3 linked regions of the Mus musculus genome follow. The protein of the gene in region 2 binds, or shares a complex with, the protein of the main gene of each other region. Links are inferred from orthologs where the notes say so. Each region holds a gene or a part of one and is shown on either strand. Other genes may lie near its edges.

Evidence for each region.
Region 1: the proteins of Rab9 (region 2) and Nde1 are in contact, whole or in part, in a crystal structure (PDB 7E1T), measured with the Homo sapiens proteins. The link is inferred for Mus musculus from reciprocal best matches to the Homo sapiens genes RAB9A and NDE1. Residues at the interface, in NP_001182257.1 of Homo sapiens: Ile40, Val42, Phe44, Asn46, Gln59, Trp61, Arg68, Phe69, Ser71, Leu72, Pro75, Phe76; in NP_001137451.1 of Homo sapiens: Asp99, Gln102, Thr103, Ala105, Ile106, Gln109, Leu110, Tyr113.
Region 3: the proteins of Rab9 (region 2) and Sgsm1 are in contact, whole or in part, in a crystal structure (PDB 4QXA), measured with the Mus musculus proteins. Residues at the interface, in NP_062747.1 of Mus musculus: Phe37, Thr39, Ile40, Gly41, Val42, Glu43, Phe44, Leu45, Trp61, Arg68, Phe69, Leu72, Phe76; in NP_766306.2 of Mus musculus: Leu256, Leu257, Tyr258, Gly259, Lys260, Asn261, Asn262, Tyr277, Asn294, Met297, Asn298, Gln361.

Annotation. Positions count from the first base shown.
Region 1 is NC_000082.6:14,158,502-14,169,181, reverse strand, and holds the start of Nde1 (nuclear distribution protein nudE homolog 1), read right to left. Parts: upstream 5,908-10,680; 5' UTR 5,814-5,907; intron 1-5,813. UniProt on the Homo sapiens protein: Required for centrosome duplication and formation and function of the mitotic spindle. Essential for the development of the cerebral cortex.
Region 2 is NC_000086.7:166,473,968-166,484,461, forward strand, and holds the start of Rab9 (ras-related protein Rab-9A), read right to left. Parts: upstream 5,901-10,494; 5' UTR 5,573-5,900; intron 1-5,572. UniProt on the Homo sapiens protein: The small GTPases Rab are key regulators of intracellular membrane trafficking, from the formation of transport vesicles to their fusion with membranes.
Region 3 is NC_000071.6:113,259,960-113,269,850, forward strand, and holds part of Sgsm1 (small G protein signaling modulator 1), read right to left. Parts: intron 8,871-9,891; coding exon 8,742-8,870; intron 6,511-8,741; coding exon 6,328-6,510; intron 5,989-6,327; coding exon 5,920-5,988; coding exon of another isoform or gene 5,908-5,919; exon of another isoform or gene 5,715-5,907; intron 3,878-5,714; coding exon 3,290-3,877; intron 215-3,289; coding exon 90-214; intron 1-89. UniProt on the Homo sapiens protein: Interacts with numerous Rab family members, functioning as Rab effector for some, and as GTPase activator for others. Promotes GTP hydrolysis by RAB34 and RAB36.

The sequences.
Region 1 (10,680 bases), on a different chromosome or scaffold from region 2:
AAATTACTGTACAGCCCCAGGTGAGCACAGGGACAGCCCTCCGCATGCGATGCTGACCCACAACAAATGGCTGCCGTGTAGACAACTGTCGGTAGGTTTCGACATGCATGCGCCTGTGAGAAGCAGCACTGTGATACAGATTCCCCAAAACTCAGCCAGGAAGTCAAGGTGGGCTGCCTGGCAAGGTGGTGCAGAGGTAGTAGCATTGGAAGAGTTGGGCATGGTGCCTCTGGCATCCCAACACTCAGGAAGCTGAGGCCAAAAGGTCACAAGTTCAAGGCCAGTCTGAGACCCTGTCTCAAAGAAGAGTAGAATAGGAAAACAGACACCAAACTCACAGACAGCAGAGCAGTAGCTAGGCTTATGTGGGAGCCGAGGAAGACTGAAAGTGGACGAGGGAAAGAGCAGAGACTGAACTCCAGGGCTAAATCACAGGCAGCCTTTCAAACACATTAACAAACTTACTGCCAAACTGTACAGTGGTGGACACTCGGGAAGCTGAGGCAGGAGGATGTAAGATCCTTAGCTAACCTGGGCCACAGAGAAAGACACCGGAAAGACAGAGGATACAAGGAGAAAAGAAGGAAGGCTTGGTTGCCACAAGGAGCCACTGAGGCACTCGGTGACAGACGGACTCTTCAGCTCAGAGGCTCATCCTGGTGGCGTGGCTGGCTGGGGAGGGTCAAGGAGTAAAATGGATCTTCTGCGCAGCAATTCAGGAACAGAAAGGAAGGTAGATAAAATTAGAGCCCAGAACAAAGGAGGAAAACAGAGCCCAGGATACGTTCAAAACAACAGGAGCCTGGTGCAGAGGTGCCATTTGGGAAATGGAGAAAGGAGGTTTGCAGCCCAAGCCTAGGAATCGGAAAGCAACCTGGGCAATACAGTGAGACCTGGCATAAAGTGGGGGAGGGGATAGGCCGGGGAGATGGCTCAGTGGGTAGCGTGCCTGCCTGTCACACAGCTTGAGGGCCTGTGTTTCAATCCCAAACACTCATGTAAAAAGTTAGGCTATGACCCCAGTGCTGGAGGGTTGTGTGGAACAAACAGCAGGTTCCCCAGAGCTCATTGGCCAGCTGGTCTGGCCAAATCAGTGGGCTTCAGGTTCGTTGACACCAGTACGTCACAAGGCAAAAACAAAAACAAGACAAGATAGTGGAATGAGAATTTGAGGTGTGGGGATTGAAGAGAGCATGGAGGGCTGAGTATGGCCAAAGTGTATAAAAACTATCAAAAAAAAAAAAGTGGAGAGTGACCAAGACATCAGATGTCAACCTTCATGGGTGTCCACACGTGTATACACACAAAAATCACTCTTCAAGACAAAACCAACACTACTTTTTGGCTGTAAAAACATCACTACAAGAGACAGAGACAGGTTCCTCAGAAGCTCATGAGCCAGCTAGCTTGGTATACACGCTACACACAACAGACCTTGTCTTACAAGCGCTGACCTCCATATGAACACACACCTGCACACACATGAACGTGAACCCATACAGAGAAGAGGAAGGGCGAGGCAGAGAAGGAAACAGGAGGGGAAGGGGAGAGAGGTCTTTGAGACAGGATCTTACTATGTAGCCCCAGCTGGCCTGGAACTCATTATGTATCTCATGCTGACTTTGAACATATGATCCTTTTGCTTCTACCTCCTAAGTGCTAGGACTGTAGTCATGTGCCACAGTGCTCAGCAGGAAAAACAAAAAATAAAAAACTTCTCGAATCATTGTTAACTTGCCTCCTAGGGAAGTTTAAAACTTGATCTTCAGGAAAGAAACTGATGGAAGTTATGTGTGTGGGTTACAGGGGAGGTGTTTGTCTTAGTTAGGGTTTTACTGCTGTGAACAGACACCATGACCAAGGCAACTCTTAGAAGAACAACACTTAATTGGGGCTGGCTTACAGGTACAGAGGTTCAGTCCAGTATCATCAAGAAGGAGCATGGCAGCATCCAGGCAGGCATAGTGGAGGAGGAGCTAAGAGCTCTACATTTTCTTTCTTTCTTTCTCTCTTTCTTTCTTTCTTTCTTTCTTTCTTTCTTTCTTTCTTTCTTTCTAAAAGATTTATTTATTTATTTTATGTATATGAGTGCACTGTAGCTGTACAGATGGTTGTGAGCCTTCATGTGGTTGCTGGGAATTGAACTCAGGACCTCTGCTCACTCAGGCCCTGCTCGTCACTCCAGCCCAAAGATTTATTTATTATTATATGTAAGTACACTGTAGCTGTCTTTAGACACTCCAGAAGAGGGCATCAGATCTTGTTACGGATGGTTGTGAGCCACCATGTGGTTGCTGGGATTTGAACTCAGGACCTTCGGAAGAGCAGTCAGTGATCTTACCCACTGAGCCATCTCATCAGCCCAGAGTTCTACATTTTCATCTGAAGGCTGCTAGCAGAATACTGACTTCCAGGCAGCTAGGATGAGGGTCTTAAAGCCCACACCCACAATGACACACCTACTCCAAAAGGGCCACACCTATCCCAACAGGGCCACACCCACTCCAACAGGCCCACACCCTCTCCAACAGGCCCACACCCTTTTACCCTCTCGATAGGGCACATACAAACTATCATCACAGTGTTGCTCTCACAGATGGGAGGACGAGGCCTTCATTACAGAGAAGAAAGAGTCTACGAATCTGAATCTCAAGTACTGCAGAGAAACTGGGCAGGGACCTGAACTCAGCTTGATAACTCACACACCAACTGGCAGCACAGGAATGGCATGTCCATCAAAACCATACACATTCTAAAAACATTTCAAAAGGAGGGGGAAAGCGACAAGAGATAAGTGACAGCTACATCTCTTGCTTAAGAAACTGCAATCTTCAAAATATAAGATTTTCCTTTTTATTTGGAATTGTCCCTCAAACCCCTGCAGCACTGCTCTCTACCACAGAAAGCATGCAAAGTGTCTCATGAAGAGTCGTTTCTTTCAGAGTTATTTATTGAAGTTTACTGTGGAATAACTTTTCAAGAGACTTTAACCTCTTTAGGCTGTTCTGCTCTAGGAGATGGGCAGAGCAGTCACTGGTACAGGGTTTGCCTAACATTTGTGAAGTCTAGGGTTCCATCACTTGCATGCCTGGAATCTCAGCATCAAGGAGACGGAAGCAGGAGGGTCAGAAGTTCAAGGCCATCCTTGAGAAGGCCTGGGCCACACGAACCCTGAGATGATAGTGAGAAAAAAATGAGGAGGAAGGGAATAGAGAAGGGGGAAAAAAGAGAAAGAGGAAGGGAAAGGGGGGAGGAAGAGGAGCAGGAACAGCCAGAGGCAGCAGCTACTGCAGCCTTGATCATCTCTAACAACCATGAAGCAGTGGTGGAAGCAACTAGACCCGAATGCACTATGTCTTTTTTGAAGTCAATTCAAGAACTGCAAAGTTGCACATAGATTGGCAGGAAGTCAGTTTGGACCACAGTCTTTTAAAAACACCATTATAATAGGTGTTAATACCAGGTTGCAGTTCACATAGCTTTGTGCCTGCTATCTTAAAAACAGAGTGGTGGTCCACGCCTACAATCCCAGCTACTATGACATGTGAAGCAGAGGATTTCTAAATGTGAGTCCAATCTGGACAACTTAGAAAGACCAAGACTCTTATCTCAAAAATAAAATTGAAACAAAGCACTAGGTAACCAGCTCAGGCAGGGGAGACCTCGGCTAAGGCACATGGGTTTAATTCCAAGTCCTATCAAAAACCAAGAGAATATGGTGTGCATTTATATTACTCATGTGTTGGTAACTTGCTTTTCAATGCCTTGGTGCTTGCTATCTTACGCCTCTGTGGACCAATTCAGGGACCACACAAATATGTTTGGTAGGGCAGGGGAGATGGCTCAACTAGTAAAAGGCTCTCATACAAACACGAGAGCCTGAGTTCAAATACAAAACACCCATGTAAAAAGCTGCACACTGGTGTTCTACAATCCCAGTGCTAGGTGTGGGGAGACAGAGATAGGCAAGATCCCTAAAGTTCAGCGGCCAGCCAACCTAGCCCAACTAAGGAGTTTCAAAAACTTAAAATAAATCAATACAAGAGTTAAGATGGAAAACAACAGAAGAAAGAGTCCTCTTATAGACTTCTGGTACTCCACACAGTACCTCTATGCTAACAAGTACACACACCACACAAAATTCAAAAAGCAAATTTTAAAAAGTACCTGTTTCCCGTAAGGTGGTTTTACACGTCTAAGAATTCATTTCAGCACGGGGTTTCTGTGTATGTGCAAAGTATTCCTGTGCATGAGGAGCCAGAAGTGGGGTTTGTGTGTGTGTGTGTGTGTGTGTGTGTGCAGGTGTTTGTGTGCATGCAGGGTCAGAAGTGACATCAGGTGTCTTCCTCTATCACTCTCCACCTTTTTAATTTTATTTATTTATTTATTTATTTATTTATTTTTGAGGTAAGGTCTCTCATTGAACCCAGGGCTCACATTCTCCTGCACTGGGCAGCAAGCCTCAGGGCCCCCCTGTCCCCCAAGCTGGGTACTGCAAATCACAGGTGTGCACCATCACACCAGCTTTTTGGTGCTGGGGACATCACTTAGGTCCTCACACTTTGAAATAAGAACTTTCAGTCCTTAGGATTGGTTTTGTTGGGAGGAGTCCCCCAAAATTAAGTCTACAAAACTGTCTGAGAACACACACAAGTCACACACCTCTAATTTCAAATTTCTAGGAAAGAAATAAAGTGATGTCTGAGTGAAGAAAGCTAGCCAAGCTGATCACCAATACTCGATGCCAATATCGAATGAACCAATACCCTTCTCCAGCCCAAGTTTATATCTCTCTCAAATAAACAAGACGTGAATGGGAGCCAGGTGATGGTGGACACCTCTAATCCCAGCACTTGGGAGGCAAAGGCAAGAGAATCAACTTGAGTTCGAGGCCAGCCTGGTCTATAGAGCAAGTTCCAGGTCAAACACATCAAGAGTCAGTCACTAAGCCTAGCTTGTCTTCTTGCTGCTTAAGTACAAAGACATGCGACTTCAGAGGGGTTGGAGGGTTGGTCATAGTTCTGTAAGTTCCTCTTACTGAACTCCATATGGAATTCTGAAAGGGGAATTACTTAAACCTCAAAACGGGCTGAATACCAGTGTGCTGGGGAAGAGAAGTGCGTGGTCAGATACCCTCAGGCTCTGGAGTAGTTTCTATCAGACTATACTTCAAAAGCACCCCTTCTGAGTCCTAAAATGTTATCCTAACACACAATACACAGAAACAGGTGGCAGAGCCAATTACAAACCTCCACCCAGCTAGAGAAGTTGAGCGAGGATCCGGCTAAAGCGCAGAAGGATGCACAACCTGGCAAAAAGTCGAGATGATTTAGGAAATATGAAGTCGCTCCGGAGTCAAGGTGACTCCGGGTTGCCCAGGACCTCAAAGAGGTAGAGGTGAGCTGGGCCAACATCCAAGGTGTGGGGTAAGCACTCTCACCCTTTGTCGGATAAAGTTTATCCGATCCAAAGTGCTGTCTAGGGAAATTTGAAACGTCCAGCGGCCGAGACCTATAGGCATCGAGGGGAAGGTTGGATATAGGTTGGTATCCGTGCGGCAGCAGTTGGGGACCCGGAAACTGTGGGGTGAAGGGGCAGACTAAGAACTCGGGGGCCTTGGGGCGGCGTGGGCATGGGTCTTGAGGACGTTCGAGGATAGAAAAGCAGCCAGCAGAAGAGGAACGGAGTTGGCCAGGGCGAGCGGCGGAGCTCACGGATGGAAGGTGGAAAGCTGAGGAGGGCAGGTGTGGGGGACACGTCGGATGGATGCTGCGGGCGTGGCGGAGACCCGCCCGCAGCCTGGCTCCACTTACCCAGCCCGGGCGGCGACGATTCCAGCGAGGCGCGGGCCGGCAGGCCTTTCTTGCCCTCCAGCCTCGCCGGTACTGCGCGGTGCGCGCCTCCCATTGGCTGCCGCTCTCGGGACGCGTCTGACTCGGCCAATCAGCGCAAAGAAGCGAGGTTTGGAAACTTTTTCTCTCTAGGCCCGGGCGCGGCTGGGCCAAGCCTCGGTGGGGGCGGGAGGGGCCGCAGGAGGCGCAGGCCACTGGCCCGGAAGGCGGGCGTGGAGAGGGCCTGCTGGCGGCTCGGTACTCGCCGTGCCACGCACTCTGGAACATCCGCACGCCTCTCCTTCACACTGGTTGCATTTATCTGCTCTTGCTCTTGCCCAAGAATAGACAAAGGAGCAATTGGTCGGAGAAACCCGGGCATTAGGAATAGCTGATATTGGGTTACACTTGTAAGTGCCCTACCCGATTCCAAAAATGCTATACTAGCCCAGAATGCACAAAGACAAAAACAGGCATAGAGAACGACAAACTTCCGCCCAGCCCACAGGACCCTTGTTATTCCACAACTTTACACCCCAAATAGAATCTTTAACTGTTGTGGCTTCTTCTGAGACAGAATAGTTTAATGTGAAAGAACTTGACTTTGAATCCTAACTCCGCCGCTTACTAGCTATGTGTATTTGAAACAAGGTATTTAATTACTCGTGGATAAAATGGTCGTCGTCGTCGTCCCCCCCCCCCCCCCCCGAGCTAAATAAATAAGTTTACAAGACTTTGTGCAGTGCTTTGTAAATAAGCCGGGCAGTGGTGGAGCACACCTTTAATCCTAGCACTCGGGAGGCAGAGGCAGACGGATTTCTGAGTTTGAGACCAGCCTGGTCTACAGCGTGAGTTCCAGGACAGTCAGAGCTACACAGAGAAACCCTGTCTTGAAAAACAAACAAACAGGGCTGGCGAGATGGCTCAGGGGTTAAGAGCACCCGACTGGTCCCGAGTTCAAGTCCCAGTAGCCACATGGTGGCTCACAACCATCCATAACGAAATCTGATGCCTTCTTCTGGGATATCTGAGGACAGCTACAGTGTACTTACATATAATAAATAAATAAATCTTTAAAAAAAAAAAAAAGTCATCATATGGTTGCTAGGAATTGACCTCTAGGAGATCAGTGTTCTTAACTGTTGAGCAATCTCTCCAGCCCCTTGTTTTTTCCTTTTTTGAAACACTTTTCCTATGTAACTTGGGCTGGCCTCAAATTTCTGAGTATTCCCTTAGCCTTATTTTTCAGTGGGATCACAGGCCCAGCTAATAATAATTTCTTAACGTTAAGCCATTAATTGTTCATTAATTATTAAATACTATTAGGCACAGGTAATTTTACAACCTGGTGACTAAGACAAAGAATCTGATCTTAAAGGGTTAATACAGTAAACGGAAACAGAATTTCAGATGCCAAATGTTGCTGAAGACTATTTAGAGACTGGGAAGCCAGAGAAAGGCATAGTTAGCTTACATTTCTGGCAGTGTTGGCCTTGAACCTAGGCCCTTGGCCATGTTAAGCAAATACTGTATCATTCAGCTGTATCTCCAGCCTCCTAGAATTGTTTAAAAGATGAGAAAAAGGGTACAGGAAATCCAAGTGTTTCGATTTTGTACCTAACAAAAGGAGCTTCAGAAGGCTCTTTTTGACTCTTACAATCATGTTCTGTTCCCCTGGGCTACACAAGTAATGCCTCCTGCCCCCTGCCCCCTGCCCCTCTCCTCAGTTTTGTTGGTTGAACTCAATACCTTACCCACTCTAGGTAAATGCTCTACCACTGACCTATACCTTCAGCCCCCTTTTTTCTTTTCTTTTCTTTTTCTTTCTTTCTTTCTTTCTTTTTTTTTTTTTTTTTAGTCAAATTCCTTCTAAGATGCCCAGGCTGGACCTAAGCTCACCCTGTAGCCTGGATAAGCTGAATTTGTAATTTTGTCTCTACCTTTGAAGGAGCTGGGATCAAAGTCCTGGGCTACTGTAGTTGGCTTTGCTCTTTTTTTTTAAAAAAAAATTCTGTTCATTTTGTTTGTAGCTTTTGTGCTGTGACCAAGCTGAGAGTTTGACTTCTCTTCCTTTGATCCTGTCCTCATGGGTGGTAGAGGAGAACTCTGTTTAGTAACTTAGGTCTTTGGGGAGTTGAATCAAATGCAAAGTATCCAGTGAAACACCAATAATAAATCTCTGTTATCTTTGTTTCATAAATGTGAAGATTATTACTGAGCAAAGGAAAAAAAAAGGAAGTTGGTTTTTTTTTTTTTTTTAATGAGACAGGGTCTCTTTGTGCAGTTCTAGTTGCCCTGGAACTGTGCCACTACTTCTGGCAAAAAGTTGAAACCTACTTTTATTAAATAGTAGGTAGTGCTTTTAATTTTGTTGTTGTTGTTGTTTTGTTTTTCGAGACAGGGTTTCTCTGTATAGCCCTGGCTGTCCTGGAACTCACTTTGTAGACCAGGCTGGCCTCGAACTCAGAAATCTGCCTGTCTCTGCCTCCCAAGTGCTGGGATTAAAGGCGTGCGCCGCCACTGCCCGGCTTCTGGCAGACTTTTAAGTATAACTATTTTAAAGTAATAACCAGCTAGGACATTCTATACTGTGCCTACATTTAGATTATATTTTTTTCCTAACTTGTAACAGAAAGCAGCAAAGAGCTAGAAATTTCAGAAATTATCTTTCCCCCTATGGAATCCTGAAAACTCATATTTAAGCCAGGCATGGTTCTAAATAAAGGTTATGCTTTTACTTCTTGAACTTGTAGGCAACCGCAGGCAGATCTCTGAGTTTGAGGCTAGTGTACAGAGAGTTCCAGGGCAACCAGGGCTATCACACAGAGAAACCCTGTCTGGAAAAACAAACAAAAAAACCCAACTCATATTTAGGTCAAGTAAAAGTGAAGCCTTCAAGGCTCAGTGGGGTTGGGGATAGGGGTAGCGAGGATACAGAACAGTTTATCTGTTTAAAACATGAAGTATTTTTGATTTCACAAAGTTCTTATAACTTTAGCATCTTCTTTTTCGTGGCCAACCTGTCATCTGAAAAGTATTGGTTACAAAGCACTAGGTTTATTAAAACAAAACGTTTGCCAGGTGACACAAACTCCTTTAATCCTAGCACTCAGAAAGCAAGGGACTGCAAGTTCGAGTACAGCATAGTCTGCGGGGCAAGTTCCAGGCCAACCCAAGGCTACACAAGTGAGACACTGTCTCTGAAAAGAAAAAATAAAACTGGGTAAGGATATCATGTACTCTTAACTGTTGGTGTCAATATTCAGCAGCAGTCTTTGCATGTACTTGATCAGCACTGAAACTGCTATAGGTAGGGAGGACTTTGCCAAAAGCCCATTTGGCAGGTTTAACTGTTCTTTCTCCACTGGCCACTAGGTTGCGCTAAAAGATGCAGTGCAACGTGCACGATTTAATTTGTAAAAATAAGGGTTATCACGTGACGAGGCAGAGCATTAATACTTTATTTCACATTAATCTTCTCTCCTTAGTCCTCGCTCCCAAGACCTTTTAGAGCGGAACCCTAACAAATCCCATCTGGCAAGCCTTTCCTTGACTCCATCACAAAAGCTCCCTAGTTCTTCGCCTGGAAGATCCGTTCGACATGGCGTCATCAAACCAGTAGTGAGAACTCCTAAACTGGGGTTCCTGCTAAAAAAAATACGCCGCCAGCCCCCTAGGTAAGACCCTATTTTGAGGTTTATCGGGAGGGGACTGAGCCTGACGAGGCTGCAGGGCCGCGAGGCCCCGCCCCCCCCACTTCCCAGCGTGCCCTGCGCGGAGAAATACGCGGAGGCGAGGGCGGGGCGAAAGAAAAGACTGGGCGAGACTCAGGGAGGGGTGGAGCCAGAAAGGGGAAGGGAGGGACGGGGGAATGGGCGGGGCTACTGGAGGAAGCGACTGGGCGGAGTGGGGACGGGCTGGGAATGGGCGGAGAAAGGGAGCGGCCATAGGGGGCGGAGCAGAGGAAGGGTGTGGTATTATGGAGGAAGAGGTGAGGCAGGGAGGCTCGGAGAGAGGGGCGGGGCTAGTAGTAGAGAAGCGTATCGGTTTTGCGACAGGGGCGGGGCGGGGCGGAAGCGGAAGTGGAGGGAGCGCTTGGCGGCGGCGGCGGGAGCTGCGGAGTCGGGAATCAAAATAAAGGGCCTGGGGGGGGTGGGGGGTAGGCGGCGGTGTCGGAATGTGAGCCAAGAAGGAGCTAGTGGCTGAGGTGAGTCCTCTGTCAGTGCCGGGACTCCACTAGGGCGTACCGGATGCTCTGATCAGCAACGTAGCTGGTCTGGAAACGACGCCTTTTCCCCCCTCAGACTGATGCTTCTGGGATTGAAGGACCGGGACTGGGACTTGCCGAAGGGGCCGTGCGAAAAAGTCGCTCTCCAGTGCTCCCCCGGTCTCTTCCGAGGCGTTTAGTCCCAGCTGGCGCTTGTCTTCCTGCTCGCTCCCCGGCCCTCCAGGTGTCAGTAGCAACCTTCGCAGGATGTGCAAAGTTGGAAAGTTGAGAAAAAGGACAGTTGTGTGGCTGAGTCCCTTATTGTTTTTTTGTTTTTGTTTTAATAGCCACTTTGGATGCAGTTTCAGTTTCAGCCACCTCCCCAATTAATTCTAGCACGAACGTGGTGCTTTCTAGTTGCACTAGTATCTTTTGGACTTTCCAGGATCTTTCTGTTTTGCATACAAGGAAATTGTCAGCTAAATGGTCTTTCTTCACCTTCAGTGAGCTCTACATTTGTCCAGGGTCATTTATTGATATTTGTGAGGCACAGTTGAGTTGGAAGGTTGGGATACCGTATATTCACATACAGTCAATATTGTTATGGAATTTATATTCTATTGGAGAAAAAAGAGTCATTTT
Region 2 (10,494 bases):
CTCCAGCACTTTTTCCAACCACCAAGACAGATAAAGGCTACCAGTTGGAGCACTCTGGGAAAGAAAAGGCACCCTCCTAGCGCTGCACACCTACTTCCTGAACAAGTGCATATAGTAAGTAGTGGGGAGAAAAGGTAGCAAAGTAGGGATGGAGAGCCTGTGCAGCCTCTGCTCCCAGCTCAGCAACCAAGTCTCAGCAATCCCCAACTGCAAGCCCAGGGGAAAGTTTACAGACTGACTTACAGGGAGTGGTGGGGAACTAAAACCAACAGTAAGGCCTTGTTTCCTTACCACTGAACTCTTAACTCTATAAACACTAATGGAAGGAAAACACCTTCGAATCCTATGGTTCAGAAACTGTGGCTAGGGCAGGCTGCTTACAATGTTTAAAGGGAGCAGAGATGCTGGCATCTGTATGGTACCATGCTCAAGGGAGTTCACAATTTCAACACTGCATTGCACACATTCCTTCTGGTGACTTAACTTTGTAAAGATGACTTTGCCCAAGATCACAGAGGAAAAATTAAATGCAGATTTTAAGGATGGCAGCTGTCTGCTGCTCCAAAACAACTATTTTTCAAATTGTATTTAAGCCTGGCCTTTTTGGACCTGTTAGAATCATCCAACACTCCTATCTGTTAAGCGTTCTCCTCAGTGAGATGTTGAAATAAATGTGAGGCATTTTCACATTTCGCTAACTCTGCTAACACAGCTGCTTCTGAGAGACAGCCTCCTAAAGGCTATCCTAACCTCTGTACCCGACACCTAATCCAAACCACCAGAACCTGAGCCCTTCCTTATATACGATTCTGCTACTCTTTCTTTACTCTTTAGATTTAAAACAAAAAAATCGGTCATGGAATGAATGTGTGGAGTCCTTCCTTCCACACTGTCCTCATCCCCCGTCAACACAATGGCAACCACGATGCCTTCGCCTCAGACAAAAGGGAACTCCTGTCCATGGAGTATGAAGCCAGGCCTGCCTGCTTCACTTGTACACATTTTCTGAAACACACTCCCTCCACCTCATATAGCCCTGACTTGACAACCAGACTACATCTCCATGTCTTGTCTGTGTTTCCAATGCAACTGACATTCTACAGCTTGAAATCATCACGGTCAAAAATGAACAAAAGGTAATGGAAAAATCCAGAATGTGGAAATAACCAGAACACAACCCAGTATGTACAGTACCAAGAGTCACATTAGGAAACAGATTTTTCCTCCAAGTTATCTAACCAGCCAAGCCACCCTGAAGCAAAGCAGGTTGGGAGTGCCACAGGCCTGACACCCAACTACACCTACAGACATACCTAGTTGGCTCCAGGTGTCCGGCCTCAGTACCTGACCTTTCATTTGCTTCCAAATTTCCCACCAAACTCCCTGAGGCATTTTCTGACTTCAGCTCCTCCTTTCCCATCAACCCTTTAATACATGGCCTCAGTGGATGGCCTGGTAGTCACAAACCCTATTTTCTTATACTATCTAGCTTTTATTATCTACTCAGCTTTCAACTTAACCTCACTGGGCACCACTTCTAATTGGCTTATTTCCTCCTGCTGCTTAACCAACAAACTGCCCAGGGCAGAATTACGTGGCAGTTAATGATTTGCTGTCTCACCTGATACATATACTCTTGCAGACATTAAGTAGTGTATCTTTCTACAAAGAAAGAAATGTGGTGACCTAACTACACTAGAGCAGCAAGACAAGTAATGACTGAGCAAGACTCCCTGGCACCAAGTCCTCATGACCTTTGGAGGTGGTGGAGAGAGATGTCACAAATAACAAAAAAAACAAAAAACAAAAAACAAAACAACCCGTACCTTTGTTAGACTTCATGTGCTAGCAATCTGGTATGATATGAAATTCAGCATCCAGTGTCCCCACCACCACACACACTATAGAACAGAGCATCTGGTTAGAGGTAGAGAAATCTATATTCATTAGCAAAGAACAACACTGTGCAATGGCAGGGTCAAAATCCAAAGACACAGAGCCAGGGAGATGGCTCCATGGATAAGAAAGTTTGCTTTACAGGCAAAAAGACCCTGAGTTTGAATCCCCAGAACTGACAAGAAAAAGCTAGCTATAGTCCCAGAAACACCGGTCACTCCAGCAATTTAGCAGAGAATGGAGATGGGAGGATTGCTACAGCTTATTGACCACCAGCCTAGCTCCAGGCTCAGTGAGAAACTGTCTCAAGGCAATACAGGTGGAATATAGAACTGGACACTCCCCATCCTTCTTTGGCCTCTAAATACACATGTGCATATATACCTTACACAATATAATCACACCCGCAAACCAACCAACCTACTGACTATGGGAATTTTCCCAGGAAATCCTGAGGAGTTTCAACACTTTTTGATAACACACACCCATCCCCCATGCCAAACACTCACCTACCAGTAATAACTGACACCTGGTCTCAGACAAGCATGGTAAAAAGAGGCCGAAAAACACCAACACGAAAATTACATAGGCTGGAGAAATGGCTCAAGAGTCAAGAGCACTGGCAGAAGGACTCAGTTGGATTATGAATTGTAGGCAGCCTCCTGGTCCACAGGCAGCTGAAACCATAGTGAGACCCTATTATATTAATATACTATATTTAAAAACTCGACCAGGGAGGGGTGACATATGCCTTTAATCCCAGCACTCAGGAGGCAGAGGCAAGAAGATCTCAGGGAGTTTGAGGTCAGCCTGGTCTAGGGTGACTTCCAGAACTGCCAGGGCCACAACAGAGAAAACCTGTTTCGGAAAAAACAAAATAAAGAAATAGATGTAGATAAATAAAAAGGCACACATGCCCAATTCAACTGTACTACAAAGCTTTAACGAACCCAACAACTGTTCTTCACCCCACCTAAGTGTGTCCAGAAAAAAAAAATGTCACGACACATGTACTTGTGTGCTATGTGAGGATGTGTTCTTTCATTAAATGACACCTGACCTCTGCTGCCAAGTAGTCCAAACAATAAATTGTGATGTAGGACCATGTAAGAACCTGGTCTTAAGATTTCGACTAGACTGCCAGCTTCAAAGAAGTAGCAGCAGCTTCCGGGCAGCACCTCTGGACCAGTGCCCCACGAAAGCAACCTGTGGATGAGAAGAACGAAAAGACAAACTTCCTAAGTCAACTGCAGAGCTGCCTAGTAGCTCAAAACTTTTTGTCATTTTTGTCTTTAAAAAAAAAATTTTCTGAAACTCTGTGTGGTAACACATCCCTGTAACCCCAAAATCAGGAATTCAATGCCAGCCTTTTCATAGCAGCAATGCTGAGGCAAGCTTTAAAAAAAAAAAATAGATTCTGTTACCAGGTAGTCATAAACCTTAGAGAATTTTCCCCCAGCAAGCTTTTAAAATAATAAAAATGCTGTCTTAAACAGTAAAATGACATTGTACTTAAAGAACTACAGAAGCCCAGTGGGACCTGGAATATGAACCAAAAATGCTTTTTCTCCAAATTTTTTCAAATATCCCCTGAGAGGATAAAATTGCCTCCCAGTGCAAAACTACTACTCCAAAAAGCCCACAAACATGTTTGAATTTCAACACTGCTCCCTCACTCCCTAGGTGACCTTGGAAACGAAATCTAACCCTCCCGGGTACCAGCAAATTTCTCATCTGTAACAGAACCACTGCTTTGGAAACACCAGGAAAAACGAAAGGGTGCACAGAGTACTGACTCAAACAGAATCCGCTCATGTGAGCCGGAGTAGGGCTTCCCAATTGGGAAAAAATCCTGAGGGAGGCTAGAAAAAAGAAATTGCTATTACTAAGAGAACTTCGGGCCTTCAGAGTACTATAGGATAAAATGGAAGTAGTTGGACAGGGGAAATGTAAAAGGATCAGGCTAGAAAAGAGAGACCACCACAAATGTATTTTCCTACTCTCCAACAATAGATGCTCTGATTTTTGCTTGTCTACTTTAACCTTCCAGAAAATAAAACACAAATATCCTTAAATTCCCCCAATGTTCTAAATAAGTAAGCCTCCATGCCATAAATGTTTCAGTACAGCAAAACACTACAAAGCACACGAAGAACCCCAAAAGCAAGAAGACACTGCCATGCACGACATGAAAACACGACACTCGAATGTATTAAGTTACTTGGAGTGCTACACAAGTAGTGATAACTTTGACCTAAGATTATAAAAGACAAAGTAGGGCTGGTGAGATGGCTCAGCGGGTAAAAGCACTGACTGCTCTTCCAAAAGTCCTGAGTTCAAATCCCAGCAACCACATGGTGGCTCACAACCACCCATAATGAGATCTGATGCCCTCTTCTGGTGTGTCTGAAGTCAGCTACAGTGAATTTATGTACAATGATAAATAAATCTTTTTTAAAAAAACCTATTAAGGTTTTAAAAAAATAAAAATAAATAAAAATAAAAGACAAAGTAAAAGCAGGGTACTTAAGTCCCTTAGCTGAGACAGGAGTTGGGAATTTTGCACAGGGGTACAGCTCTTTCTTAGCCAAGCACAAGACCCTAGGTTTGGGCTCCAGCAATGGAAGAAAAAGAACGAAAAGAAAAAGGTAAATAGTCCTTAGTTGAAAGCCCTGGGTTTCCTTCAATTCTAGTTGAGATTTCAGGCAGTGTAGGGATTTTCCATTGCAGTGGTGCTAGCAAGGAAAAAGACAAAACTTGTACCAGCAAAACAAAACAAAAACCAAATTCAGTCTGTTGATTTTATGAGGACGCTGTGAAAAGACTGGTCACGTGCCAATTTGGAAACTTGCAGAAGTTATTCCTCAAAAGAAGTATGATCACGGGATGTGTCATCATTTACAAAACAAAACAGAACCATAATACGTTCACCAACCATTTGGTCAGTACTTAAAAGTCTCCTCTGGTCTTTTCACTAAGATGGAAGGAAGAAAGGAACGCGATTTTGAAACCTCGGCCAAGATCTGATATCTGACGATGTTCCCAACCGCCTACAAGGTCTTTGCCCTGGCTTTATCTTCCAAGCTCTCTCACCTGAGTGGGTCAAAGGGTAGTATGTCAGAGGTCGCCAAACTCAAATAACACAAGCTTGCTTTCCCCAGCATTAGTCAGTCACTGTGGCGCAAGGTTTGGTCTCGAGTATGTGGGTGTCCCCGTGTGGTTAGGGGAAAGACTAATGTGTAAGTGTGTACCCAGGTAATGTCATTGGTCCCGTGAGCATCGTTCCACCATCCTATTCCCAAGTATTTGGGGTATATCTCTTTCCTGAGATGATGTTTTTGGAAGGGATATCTCTTCCTCTCTAGTAAGGCCGATCGGTCGGTCTGCGTGTATGTGTTTGTGTGTGCGCGCGCGCGTGTATGTCCCGAGTGGTTGGGTGTGTGATCTTCTTCCCGTGCTTGAATGTGAAAACCCGTCTTTCTTCCTACTGACGTAGGAATTTTCAGGAGACTTGGGGACAAGCTAACTACCCCTGTTGCCCAGCAATCTACTGACCCGCGCCAATTTGGCTCGCCCGCCGCCCCGGCGGCCCTCCGCTCCAGCAGCTCAGCTCAGGCTACGCGCGCTCTTAACCAGCTCTGGCCGGACCTCAAATGGAAGGATGACCCCCGCTCACCTTGCAGACACACACTGGACGTCCTGGGGGCGGCTCGCCAACACGCCTGGGTGCAACCAGGGCAGGAAGAAGGCCAGAGACTCCGGAACGTCGAGAGCGCTTCCAAGAGGGAGCGACTGGGGCAGAAGAACCAATATGGCGGGCGGCCGGGGCGGGGCCAAGACGGAGGGGCGAGGCCTTGACAGTGGGGCGACGGGGCGGGGCCTGAGGCAGTGAGGCAGGGTCTGGAGTGGTAAAACCAGACCCGGGTCAGGGGCGGGACCTAAGTCTTTAGGGCGGGGCCAGGAGCTGCGGGGAGGGGCCTGTGGCGGTAGCACCAGGCCAGGAGCTGTAGGTCGGGGTCTTTCCTGTGGGCGTGGCCTGCGGCTGCGAGCCCAACCGCTAAGGCTAAGATCCTAGTCTGGATCACAGGAATTAGGCCCAAGGAAGACTGAGCCAGGAAGTCTGGAATCTGCTCTTCCCACAGACTGCTTTGCAAGATCGCAGTTTTTCTTTGTACTAGCTGCTGCTCTGGTCTTCCCACCTGCGTTTCTTCTAACAGTGGTCACAAAATAATAATTTATTCTTAAAGTTTAAAGTAGAGAACATATGAGTACTATGACGTAGCAGTATTGCACCATTTAAAAAAAAAAAAGCAGGCGGTGGTGGCTCACGCCTTTAATCCCAGCACTTGGGAGGCAGAGGCAGGCAAATTTCTGAGTTTGAAGCCAGTCTGGTCTACAGAGTGAGTTCCAGGATAGCCAGGGCTACACAGAGAAACCCTGTGTCGAAAAACAAACAAAACAATAATAATAATGGCAAAATATAGGGTCAGAGGTGTTTGTATTCCTTTGATTTATATGAGGAATTGAGTACATAGGTGGTAAAAATAAAAGTCCCTGGAAGAAAGATTCTTAGCTCCCCATAAACATATAGATTATGTTTAGTTTCTAAGAGAAGACATTCACTTTCGTGATCCACAACAATTTACATAATGTCTGCCTCTTTGTGGAGCCATTTTCAAGTAATAACCTTTCATCAGGCGCCAGAAAGATTACAGTTAGCAAAGTTTCTCACAAGTATGATTTTAGAATAATTATGAAAATAAGGCTCATAATAAATACTGAGTTCCAGTTTGAATTTCAATGATTTTTTTTCTTATAAAAAGGAATCTATTTTTATGTGTGCAGAATATTTCCCCCACGGACATCTGAGTAAAGGTTTATCGATATACAAATCTGTTGCATATGGAAAAGTGAGCTGGGATACAAGTCAAGGTCGAGTGCTTGTCCACCATACATGAAATCATGGTTCCAACCCCGACATCACAGAAGCCTAGCATTCTAGAAGCAGAGACAGGAGCTCAAGATCCTCATGGCACATAGGGAGTTGGTACATAGGCTATATGAGACCTTCTCTAAGGGAAAAATGACTATGCTTTTCACATACAAGGAAAAACAGAATGAAATAGTACACAATTTATCCATTAACTGACATTTAAATCATCGAAATGTTGATATTTTCTCTAACCCATTATCAATGTGAAATCTCAGTAATGTATATATTTTATAAGTAATCTATTAGTAATTATATTATTAAATAATCATATGTTGAAAAGTTACATATAAAAAATGATTTCTCAAACCAGGTGTGGTGGTGTCTTTTTACCGGGCACTCAGAAGGCAGAGGCAGGCAGATATCTGTGAGTTCAAGGTCAGCCTGATCTACAAAGTGAGTTTCAGGACAGCCAGGACTGTTACACACACACACACACACACACACACACACACACAGTCTCAGAAAAACCAAACCAAGCCAAAACAATCCTCATCTAAATCAGATCTTTTTTCTTTTATTGAAAACATTTTTTCTCAAATAGGGTATCCCTCCATCTACACCAAGTTCCTCCCCACATCCCTCCATCCATATACATCCCCTTTCTGTCTCTCAGTAGGAAACAAATAGGCTTCTAGTGGATAATAAACTAAAATATAAAACAAAAAAAGTAAATATGTTGGAATAGGGTAAAACAACCAGAGTTCCCTAGAGCTCCCAGGGACTAAACCACCAACCAAAGATCTAGTTTCAATCCACAACACTACAAAAAAATTTGTGTTTGGTTTTCCAAGTCAGGATTTCTCTGTGTAGCCTTGGCTGTCCTGGAACTCATTCTGTAGACCAGGCTGGCACTGAACTCAAAGAGCCACCTGCCTCTCTCTGCCTCCCAAGTGCTGGGATTAAAGGCACACACTACAACTGCCCAGCTAACTACAAAACTTCTCAAAGGAAAATTAAAAAAACAAAAATGAACGATCACACCATTTTACATTTTCCCCAACATAAATTTTATTATAGACACTTCAAGCTTGGCAAATGATCAAATTAATAAAATGCACCTAGATCAGAGAGCTATTTTCTTGAGCAGAAAGCAAGGAACATTGATGGGGTAGGGAGGTCCAGTCGAGGGAGAGTTAAAAGGAGTTGATCTGCTGGTGGTTCTATCTCATTTTCTTTAGGTGATTCTTATTCCATTCAAATGCCCTGAAATTGATGATGAAGTTTGTTGTTTGGTTTACGTTGTTTTCATTTTGGGGAATCCTTGTTGAATTAATAATCGTCAATTGTTTGCTTTTAGTGTGCTGTGAAATTTCAATCTCTATAAACAACCATTCTTCAATGACAGGCTGGGAGTGCCAATTCTTTACACATCACCAAAGCCAAGATGGTTGCTCTCATGAGAAGCTGCTCTGGAAGCCGGCCTGTACATCCTGTGCCCTACAGCATCCACCTCTTCAAAGATGTAGCCAGGGGGTTCAGAGAATGAAGCTGGGCACCTTTGAATTTCCTTAGGAGTAAAATTAGAAGAGTAGGTGGTCTGACCTTCTAACGGGATGTTTACACGAGGGCCGGACCAGGTTGGCTTGCAGCTTTTGGTATTGACTGGTGCATGAGGCACGTAGTGGGCACGATTGGTGGTCATGTAATCCATAGGCTCATCAGGGAATTTCAGCTGGGGAGCAGGTTTGATTGGCTCTCTAGGGATGATGTCCCAGTGTTTATAATCCTCTCTGTTGGTGGTAGAGCTTTCAAATCGCTCACTCTTCTTCAAGTGGATGACTGGCCGGCAGGACTGAGCAGGAGCGCCATTGGGGCATTTATAGTTGGCTTGCACAGTTGTCAGAAGATCCATCTTTCCTTCAGGAGGGATGTAGGGAATGGGCTCTTTGGGGACAATCTTAGGTGTTGGCCAAGCTTGAAAATTTTCTCGAAATTCAGTGTCGGTTGCAAAAGGTATACCTAGCCCAGAGTGATTTGGTACAGGTTTCCAGCTCTTGGCAGGTTCCCCCATCAAACCCTTGTAGGAATCTCTGTGGGTGGTAAGGCCATCAAAAGGAATTTCACATGGTTTATATTTCTCTCCCTCATACACACACCGCTTCTCCACAGGATGGGCCACATAGCTCGATCTGTAGCTTGTCATATTCTCCAGGGGGAGGTTGGAGAGCTTGGGCCCAGGTGGAGGTTTGTAATTCACAGTATCCACAGGACTTTTCATGGGATAATCGTCCTGGTGTGTGGTTCTATGATCAAACCTACAGGACGGAGGACGGTATGATTGTGGTGGATGAATCAAAGATCTTTTTTGTTGGTTCCAAGGTAAATAATCAGCTTTGTACGTAGGCTCATACTCCATTTTGTCATTACATTGATGCCTGTTGTCTCGAGGTTTGATGGGGCTCGCTCGAGTGGCAGGGCAATAGTTGTAGTGTTGATTATACGTTGTGAGGAAATCCATTTCATCTTGGATTGGAGTGACCTTCTCGGGAAGATGGTGTTTCACCGGTACTATGTTGTAAGCCCCAAAGTCTCTCTTTGTTGTGGACAGTCCTTCCATTGGTATAGCTACTTTCTGGTACTCCACCTTGGGTTTGAAGGACTCTTGGGGCATATAAGAATGATAGGTAGAATACTTCTCCGAGTATTCGGAGAAAAAACATGGTTTCTCTGTCTTCTCATAAATCTTGGTAGGGAGATGTGGGCAGTGATGCCTGCCGCAGGAGCAAAGGTCACAGATGCACTTCCTATTCAAGAGAGCCATTCTCCTGACATCACCTCAGGTCATATTCCGAACATGAGCCTCCTCACGTACCCCCCAACCGGTCTGGTAGGAGGGCCACCAAGCCTCAAGAGGCTTGGCAAGATGCGGGTCTCTTCGCGAAAGAAAACTTAAATGGCCTGCTTGTACAATTCGCTTGCCCTGTTTCCTTCCTGAAACTTGCCTTTCACCTGCAAGATTCACCCAACCCACACCCTAGGGGCGGGCCCACCTCTGCTTCCCAGCGCACCTGAGCAGCAGCGCAGCCTCAGCTGCCGCCAGGATCTAGAGCAGCTGGCTGGCTCCCCTAAAGCCTCCGGAAGCCACGGGGCCCAGACTGGGGGCCCTCTGTGACGTCTCCAGGCCCTTAAGGGGTGGCAATGCTGTCACAAGGACGTCTGTGAGGTCAGGAAACTTCCATTGCCTTACATGATAGGGGTTTCCCCATTAGGCCTTGGAAGAAAGATTGAAGACTGGATGGCTGAATTTAGAGAGCTCCTGGGTTCTCGAATAAATAAAGGACTGTTTGGCCTGCTTTGGGGACCCTTTTCATGACAGACTTTACTTGGCTATAAGTCAACAAGTTTAGAAGCAGTTCTTTGAAAACTATTTCTCCCTAAACCACATATATAAACACTAGCTTTCCTTTTTTCTTTTTAGTTTTTTGAGCCAGAGTCTTGTGTTGCCCAGATTAGCTTTTAATCCACTATGTAGCCAAAATGACCTTGAACTTCTGATCCTCCTGCCACCGACTCCTGAGTGCTGCGATGACAGCCTTGTGATGTTGTGGCTGCTTTGTGCGATGCTGAGGATGGAACCCAGGGTCCATGTGCACGCCACAAAAGCA
Region 3 (9,891 bases), on a different chromosome or scaffold from region 2:
ACAACCTTTCCCCTCTCCCACACCACCCCTCCCCCTCCCCCACACTACTCCTCCCCCCACAGCACCCCTCCCCCCCCAGCCACAGTCACCTGCACATGATGTTCCTCAGCTTCTCCAGGTTGGCTGCTGTGAAGTACCAGTAGCTGCGGTCACACCTCTGCACATCTTTCTCAATGCGGTGCAGGTTCACGGTGTACAGGTCCAGTAGTTCTGGCTGTGGGTGGGAGGAGAAGGAAGATGAGGACGCTGACCCCCAAGAACCATTTCTAACCCTCACCTCCCAACCGCTCACTCTGGGGTTCAATTCGTTCTTTCTTTGTTTCCTGGATAAGTTAGGCTGACTTTGCATGATGAAAGAGTATTCTTTTGAGACTGGTCTCGGGATGTAGCCCAGGCTGGCCTTGAACTCATAATCCTCCTGCCTCAATGCCCAGAATGCTGGGATTACAGGTGGACATATGTGTTCTTATGTGTACGAGTGCACGCACACACGCACACACACACAGATCTGTATCAGAGACAGAATATTACACAAATACACTTAATGCATTTAAAGAGGATGCTAATCTGTCAATTTAGTGCTCAGGAGACTATGGCAGGAGGATTGCTGTCAGTTTGAAGGCAGGTTACAGAGTGAACTTAAGGCTAGCCTGAGCTGCATAATGAGCACGAAATAAACCAAAGACATGAAGACTAGAGACAGGAGCCTGGGCATGGAATCTGGACCCCTTCGCCTCTAAGACTTTACTGACTGAGCTCTGTCCCCAGCCCCTAGAATAGAATCTTAAAACTTGCTGAAAGGGAGAAAAGTCACCTTTAAGTGGATAGCTGTTAGACAAGCTCCCCAATACCAAGGGCAGACTTGGAAAGAGAGTAGAGTCTTTGAAAGGCGGGGTACTCCTCACCTTGTGATAGGGTTACTATGAAGAAACTCAGAAGTTGCAGTAAAGTAAGTTTTAAAAAACGTGCGGAGTGCACCTAAACTGTGAGCATCCCAGCTGAGGGCAGGGTGTCTCGCAGAGGGTCAGAAGCTCCCTTGGGATAGCGTGGCCCGTGGGAGCTTTAGCAAGGGTCGGGTGTGTGTGAGTTGCCCCTCTCTGCATGGAGAAATCATACCACATATGGTGCAGGGGAAGATCTGGATGTCAAATTTATTTATTCTTTTTTTCTCTCCTGTTTATGAGTTCACTGTAGCTGTCTTCAGACACACACCAGAAGAGGGCATTGGATCCCATTACAGATGGTTGTGAGCCACCATGTGGTTGCTGGGACTTGAACTCAGGACCTCTGGAAGAGCAGTCAGTGCTCTTACCCACTGAGCCATCTCACCAGCCCAGTGGATGTCAAATTTAAAGTTTGCTTCCTGGGCTGGAGAGATGGCTCAGCAGTTAAGAGCACCATCTGCTCTTCCAGAGGTCCTGAGTTCAATTCCCAGCAACCACATGGTAGATTTCAACCATCTGCAATATAATCTGGCGCCCTCTTTTGGTGTGTCTGAAGATAACTACAGTATACTCATATACATAAAATAAATAAATCTTTAAAAAAAAAAAAAAGGTTGCTTCCCACCGAATACATTCTTTACTATTGTGGAGTTGAAAACATGACTTGAACCATCATATACCAGGGAACAATTGTACTGAGCAAACATGGCGGTCATGCGGCCCTGTACCCAGCAAAGGGATGTGCCAGGAACAAGGGAGGGAATGTCACTCAGGATGAATGTGGATGAGGAATCTTCCTAAAAGATTCTTCAGCTGCTGGGGGATGGCTCGGTCAGTGAAGTGTTTGTCCGGCAAGCGTCCAAGTTCAGCACCCCCAGAACTCATGTAGAAAGTCAGGCCTGGAGGTACATGCTTGCCCTAGAGCTGAGGAAGAGGAGGGGACAGGAAGATCACTGGGGATTGCTGCAGGGCTGGACAGCCTGCTGGAATTGGTGAACTGCAGGCCACTGGGAGGTGCTGTCTCAACAGCAAAAGAAGGATGGTTTCTGAGCAGCTGCACCCAAGCATGTCTCGTGGTGCTCGCACGTACCCCCCACGTACCCCTCCATAAGCTCGAAAAGGTCCACACACCCAATAGATACCAAAGACACAGAAAAAGAAGAATCACAGAGTAGGCAGGGTTCCAGTCCTGTGGCCTGTGTGATGTCACATGGGATGGGAAATGCAGCCTGTGGAAATCACTCAAGTGTGTATTCTGACAGTGCAAGGAAAGATTCATACTAGACAGACGGGGGCGGGGGGGGAGGGAGGGGGGCCCACTGGGTCCCTCCAGGTCCCACCCACCTCCCAGCCTCTGCATCAGAGATCTGCAGCCATTCAGAGTAACAGGAAGGGCTCGTGTCTCAGTATTTCTCTTCACACTCCTTCTGCCCTGTGACCTCTGTCACTGCCCACTCTACCACAAGTTGGCTGAGGTAATGTCAGGGAGCCAGACAGAGCAGAGGTCTCAAATACACACGGGCACATCAGCTCTCTCTGCTTACCATCTGCCTTTGCAGTGAGCACACATCCAGGTTAGCCTGCCAGAGAATGAAACACAGACCAACCCCCCAGTACCTCTCCCGGACAGCAGTTATCAAACTGAGCCACACCCAGCTTGGGGCAGAGCTTCCTGGCTGACCCACACACTGGGAGGTATATGTATAAGGCATCGTGTTGAGGGGTGAAGCCGCTGACTTCCGGGAACTGCTTGCCACACAGCATGGATGTAATAGTTGATGACTGATAGATACATCATGGTCAAAGTGAGTCTGGGGCTGGCAAGAAGGCTCAGCAAGTAAAAGCACCAACTGCTCTTCCAGAGGTCCTGAGTTCAATTCCCAGCAATCACGTGGTAATGAGATCTGACGCCCTCTTCTGGTGCATCTGAAGACAGCTACAGTGTTCTTATGTATAATAATAAATGAATCTTTGGGCCAGAGCAAGCAGAGTTGACCGGAGCAAGCAGAGGTCCTAAAAATTCAATTCCCAACAACGACATGAAGGCTCACAACCATCTGTGCAGGTACAATGTACTCACATGCATAAAAATAAATAAATAAATAAATAAATCCTTAAAAGAAAAGAAAGAAAGAAAAGAAAGAAAGTGAGTCTGTCTGAGCTTTCCATTAGACTATTCTGCTAAAGTCTGTGAAGGCAGAGGGCAACATGGTGGCTCACAACCATCCGTAATGAGATCTGACGCCTTCTGCTGGTGTGTCTGAAGACAGCTACAGTGTACTCATTCATATACATAAAATAAATAAATAAATAAATATATTTTTTTAAGACTCCTAGTGACTTACAGAATAGGTGACTCCACTGGAGGACACAGGGGATGCCTCGTTATTGGCAGAGGAGGTCACAGCCAGAGAAGCCAGGGCAGGGAACAGGCTCTCCATCTCAGGCTCTTCTGAGAGGTTGTCCTCACTGTCAGCCCGACTGGGCTTGTCCGCCTCACCGGGCCAGCCGTCCATCACCGCGCCATCCTTCTCAGGTAGGGCCACGTCCAGGCTGCCAGGGATAGACATGAACTCCTCCAAGCTCTCGTTGGCAAGGAGGTCACTCTCAAGGCTATCTTGCACGGCCAGCTCCTCCCGAGGGGCCTCGTCCCGGGATGTGGTGGCTTCGCTGCTCTGCCCATCTTCCACGCTGCTGTCCCCAGGCCGAAACACAGCTGGAAGGCTGCGTTGGGCATCCAAGACGCTGTCTTCAGTGCTAAGACTGGGCTCAGAGTGCTCGGAGAGACCAGAGGAGAAGTTGTGGGAGGAAGGGTGTCCGGAGTCTGGGGAGCAAGTGCCGTTGGCTGGGTTCCCATTGGGGATTTTGGGATGTTTTTCTTCTGACCTGCCTTCTGCCTCTGTCTGCTCCACCTCATCCACAGACTCAAATACCTGAGGAAAGGTACACACAAACATTCGAGTCAGGACTCGCATGGCAACATAGCTCATGGCAGCAAAGTAATATCCAACAACAGGAGTGACTTCGGTATGGAATCTGCCTGTAGCGGAATAGCATGCAGTCAGTACAAAGGCAGTGTGTTCTTTATGGCTGTCAATCTTCCAAGTGCTGAGGTCGCATCAGCGATTCAGCTGGCCACAGCTGGCTCTGAGGAGGGCAACTAGGGAAATGAAGTTTGGGGGAGGGGAGTGGCTTTCTACTGTACGGACCTCTAACACTTAGATTTGCTTGTGTTTCTGTGTCCTTCAGCCACAACCCTCAAGGTCACAGTAAAGATCAGGTCAAGGCCTCACACTGCTTCTCTAAGTAGCTGCCATCAGTTTTACTTCACTGAATCTATTTCTGCTCTTTCATGAGCAGGGCTGGGACCTCATCATGTGCATAGGCTTGGTGTATACACACACACACACACACACACATTATACTACCCAGAAGGTATTTTATGAACATTTGTATGCTTTTTATTTATTTGTGTGTGTGTGTCTGCATGAATGCAGGTGCCCTTGTAGTCCAGAAGAGGGTGCACATCTTCAGGGGTTACACTTGGTTGTAAGGCACCTCATGTGGATACTGGGAACTTTATTTATGCATTTATGTTTGTGTGTGTGTGTATATGTGTGTGTGTGTCATGAATGCAGGTGCCCTTGCAGTCCAGAAGAGGGCGCCAGATCTCTTGGGGTCAGACCTAGTTGTGAGGCACCTCATGTGGGTGCTGGAAACTAAATCTGGGTCCTCTGCAAGAGCAGCTTGTGCCCTTCACTACCGAGCCATCACTCCAGCTTGCTTTGTGCTTTTCCTTTTGTTTAATGAGGCTTTCAGTAGAGTGATGCCCAAAAGTTGTTGAACAATAAGTCTGCCAGTGTTTATGTGGGATTTTAAGATCTACCAAATATAGTGGTTTGAATTGGTTGCCCGCCGCCCCCCCGCCCCCATAGATTCATGTGTTTGAATGCTTGGTCCACAAGGAGTGACACTATTGTGAGGCGTGTCCTTGTTAGAATAGGTATGGGCTTGTTTGGGGAAGTGTGTCACTGTGGGGTGAGCTTTGAGGCTCCCATGCTCTCGCTCTACCCAGTGCAGAAGAGACCCTCCCTCCTCCTGGCTGCCTGCGGAAGAGAGTCTTTCCTGGCTGCCTTCAGACCAAGATGCAGAACTCTTGGCTCCTCCAGCACCATGTCTGCCTGCACGCTGCCATGCTTCCTGCCATGATGATAATGGACTGAACAGCTGAAACTAAGCCAGCCTCAATTAAATGTCTGCCTTTGTTAAGAGTCGCCTTGGTCATGGTGTCTCTTCACGGAAGTGAAACCCTAAGACATTATATATTTCTGTGTGTGTGTAAAGGCATCCAGAAGGTTCTGGAAGGCCACACAGCGTACTGATGATCTTAGTACTGTTTCAAGGGAGGACGGAGATGAAGGAGACAGAAGCAAAGTACAGGCGTGCGGTTTGCTGTTTTATAGGAGAGCAGGCTCCTGGTCAGCCTGTGAGTTCAGAGGTGCTGAGTCCAAGATTCAACCAATGCTGAGTGAAAATACCCACAAACCACTGCACCTGCGCAGACCAGGCTCTTCATTCCTAGTGGCACAGCCTGATAGCTATTTCCATGTCGTTTGCACTGACTGCACTGCTTGTGAGTGGCCTAGAGGTGACCTGGCGAATGCAGTGTTCTGTACACACCCTTGTCATTTTACCCGGGACTTGGATCCCGGGATGCTGATGTCTACAGGGGCTTCATTCCACTGTTATGGGTTCCAAGGAGACAGCAACTGCTTGCAATACTTAGTTTACTTCCGATACTAGCCATAGAAAGCTGAATGCATCAAGCAAAGCGGCTGATAAATGATGGACATCCAAACCCTACCACCGCAGATGGGAGGGTGGGGCTTGCATGGATTGGGCGGGGCTTTCTGGGTGGGTGTGGCTTTGCGGATGGGGTGGGGCAAGAGTGGGGAGCTGAGCCTCAGAAAGTCACCTGTGTGCTGCTGCTGGAGTCGCTCTGCAGTCGGAGGTTCTGGCGGCCTGAGCTGCAGCTCTGGGATGACTGAGATAGACAGGAACCAGACAGGCAAAGACAGAAGGTCACAAAAAGGGTTTCTGGGCTGGGAATCCAGGAAACCTGGTTCCATTCCTTCTCTTGACAGATGCAGCAGTGAAACCTGATACATGCTGTCTTCTCAGGGCTATCCCCAGACCTCCACCACGCCCGCAGTACAGATGCAAGAGCAGAGCCCAGAGGAAAGGCACTGGCAAGATTCTCTGGGTGCAACTTGAATCTATATCTGATTCTAAAGCTCTTCCTCCCCTCAAAAGCTGAAGGTGCGGCTGTCCCAAGACCCTGGCCCCTCCCATCAGCATTTCCCTCAGGCCAGCTGTCCTTTACCTCATTGCTGATGGTGGAGTCCCGGTGCAGCATCCGGTGAAGGTGGCTGTCCAGGCTGGCTCCTGAAGAGCACTTGGCCAGGGCAGCCGCGTGGGACTCCCGCTCCCTCTGTCTCACGATAGCTTCACAGCCCAGCCACTCCGACATGGTTTGTGCGTAGCAGGCATGGATCTGTTCGTCTACCTGTGGGCACGTGTGAAGGGCACAGGCGGTGCTGAACACCCTAGGCTCTGGCCTGTCTGCATTTAATGTCAATGGCACTTGACGTTGCTGGATGATGTCCATGCCCAGAATACTACAGAGCAAGGCTAGTTTGCCTCCACCTTCCTTCCCCCTCAGCTCCCTCCTCAGTAATTCATTCACTCCCACAATCAAAGTTTGTTTGCATACTTTCTCTATTTCCTCATTCTTTATCTATTAATTATGCAATCCGTTTCCACATTCGCTTATTATTTATTTACTCCATTTTCTCATTCGTTTCTTTTGATAAGTAACTATATCTTCCCAGGAACCAAGTCAGGCATATACTTTACCAGATAAGCAAAATCCTGCTACCTATCCCCCCACCCACTCACCCACCAGTTCACCCACCAACCCACCCACCCATCCATCAGGTGAGGGCAATATCAGATTACCAGAATGTTTTCTTCAAGACTGAACCTGCCTCCACCAGTATGACCCGGTAATCTCACTACCAGGCATTTCCTCAACACAGAAAGCCTGCATTGGATGTCAGCTGTAGTTAGCTGTTCTCAGCCCAAAAGGGTAAATAAATAAAGGTTCATAGCATCGCCCAGCTACCTATCAGCAAAACCTTGGTGTATGCCCAGGGTAAGTGTTAACTCACTAAAAGGAAACAGGCAGCAGTAGAACAATTTGGATGGATCTAGAGATTGTACTGAATTTAAAAGTCAATACCCAAAGTTTCCACACTACAGAACTCTGTTTATACAACATTCTAGATGTGAGAAGATTCTGGAAATGGAAGACGGGAGGAGGAACCCGGGGGATGATGGCAGGATGGAGGTGGGCGTGGCTACAGAGGGACCAGTGAGGATTCTTTTTGTTTGTTTCTTTTATGGTTTGTCGAGATACACTTTCTTTCTGTAACAGCCTGGCTGTCCTGGACTCACTTTGTGGACTAGGCTGGCCATGAACTCACAAAGCTCCACCTGCCTCTGCTTCCAGAGTGCTGGGATAAAAGGTGTGTGCCATCACACCTTGTAGTCTCCCTCCCCCAGCCTGAAACCTGCTTGCTCAGGGGTGGAGCTTGCAGCCTCAATCGTTCTGCCATGCCCACTGCTGGAACCTGCCGCTTTGCTGTTCACCCTGCTATTGGACCCCAAGATTAATTGGCAGGAATCGGGCCCCTTCCCCTGCTTTATATCTGCGTGCAGAACAGTAAAATTGAGCTTTGATCAGAATGCCTGTCTTAGCTACATTTCTTTCTCTCGCCACCTAGCCCCTCTTCTCTTCCAGGTTTCCAAAATGCCTTTCCAGGCTAGAACCCAGGTTGTGATCTACTGGCCAGACACAACAACACCTGACCAAGGTGAGGATTCTTAAGGCACCAGCAATGCACAAGTCTTGATACATAAGAAAATAAGTACATACACACCGTTGTATACACACAGACACACATACCAGTGTGTATACATGTACACAAACACCAGCATGCATATGTGGAGACACACACACATACACACACACACAGGAGGATGGAGGAGCCTGAGTGGGGTGGGATGCTGTACCAGCATCAGTGAACTATGACAGCATAGGACATCACAGTTCTGTTGGAGGTCACCATAGGGAAACTGAGTAAAGGTCACACAGGTCTCTGCAATGCTTCCTACAAGGCACGGGAGTCTACATGACCTCAAAACAGGAGGTCGGCTTGTTTGAAAATTCTCTCATGTTGTATTTCCACCAAATAGCTTTTTTCCTCCATGTTCCTGTTTCTTCACTGTGTCACTCACCAACAAGACTGTAACAGGCAACCAGGGCTCTACTGTACCCAGAGCTCAGCTGCCCAGTACCCAGGTGCACAGGGCCCAGCTGCCCAGTATCCAGGTGCATAGGATCCAGCTCCCCAGTGCCCAGCTGCACAGTATACAGCTGCCCAGTACCCAGGTACATAGTGCACAGGTGCACAGTAGCTAGCTACACAGTGCCCAGGTATACAGTGCTCAACTCCCCAGTACCCAGGTGCACAGAGCCCAGCTGTATAGTGCACAGCTGCACAGCACCCAGCTGCACAGTGTCCAGCTGTCCAGTACCCATCTTCATAATACCAGCTGCATGGTGCCTGGCTACACAGTACCCAAGGGCACAGTTCCCAGCCTCACAGCACCCAGCTGTCTAGTTCTCAGCTCCACAGCACCCTGGAACTTTCATTGTCCTTACAGGTAACTAACCTCTTTCCTCTCCATCTCTGTCATCCCAAACTGGTAGTGGCCGAGGAGGAAGGGCCACACTGCCCTGCGGATCTCAGGCTGGACACCTCCATAGTAGATGAGACGCAGCAGCTCCTGCTCCGGGTAGGTCTATGGGGGAGGGGTCAGAGGGCAAAAGGTCTGGTCAACAGGAAGCCAGAGTGGCCTGTGAGTCATGAATGAGCAAAGCCATAACTTTTGTGTCTGGAACATTCCCCCAAAATGCTTGTGTTAATGACTTGATCCCTAGTTTGGTACTATTGGAAGCTGGTGGGGCTCTGCAGAGGAGAAGCCCACATAGGTTTAGGTCACAGTGGAGGATGGTGGCTCAGCCCCACAGTAAGCCTTTCTGTTTTGCTCTTTTGCCATGTTTTCCTGCCAATTTGTCCTGTGTTGCCGAAGGACCACAGCCACAGGGCCTTCTGATCTCCACAATGAGAGCCATGATAAACATCTTTTCTTTATAAGCTTCTGGGTCTGGGAACTTGTTACAGTAACAGAGAGAGAACATACTACAGGGACCTGTAATTAACTCTGATATCACACGAGGAGCTAACAACCCAACCCACCCAACTACATCTGTGTGTGTGTGTGTGTGTGTGTGTGTGAGAGAGAGAGAGAGAGAGAGAGAGAGAGAGAGAGAGAGAGAGACATTACTTCCTAGGGAACCACACAGGGAGTTGTAAGGGCGACCGGCTCAGGTGTGAGGACTGATGTGTGTGTGTGGTGGTGGTGGGGGGGGGGCAAAGTGTGAAGTGGGGAAAAAGATAAAGATGTGACCAGGGATGATATAGGATAGCAGGTGTGAAGGACCATGCTGCAATTCAAGCACTCAGCGCAGGTCAAGGTCATCCCTAACTACACAGAGAGTTTGAGGCTAGCCTGGGCTACATGAGACCTTATCTCATGATGAGGTAAAAACAACAACAACAACAAAACAAAAAAGAATAGGTGAGTTAAGAGGGAGAAGAGGAAGAAGGGAGAGGAAGAAGAGGAGAGAAAAGGGAGGGAGGGAGAGGATTAGAGGGGGATAATTGGGGGGGGAGCATGTGCCCAAGGCTGTGCCTAATGTACTAGCAATCCCATTTAATTAACAAATGCAATCTCATCTCTAGTCAGCATGAAGAAAATG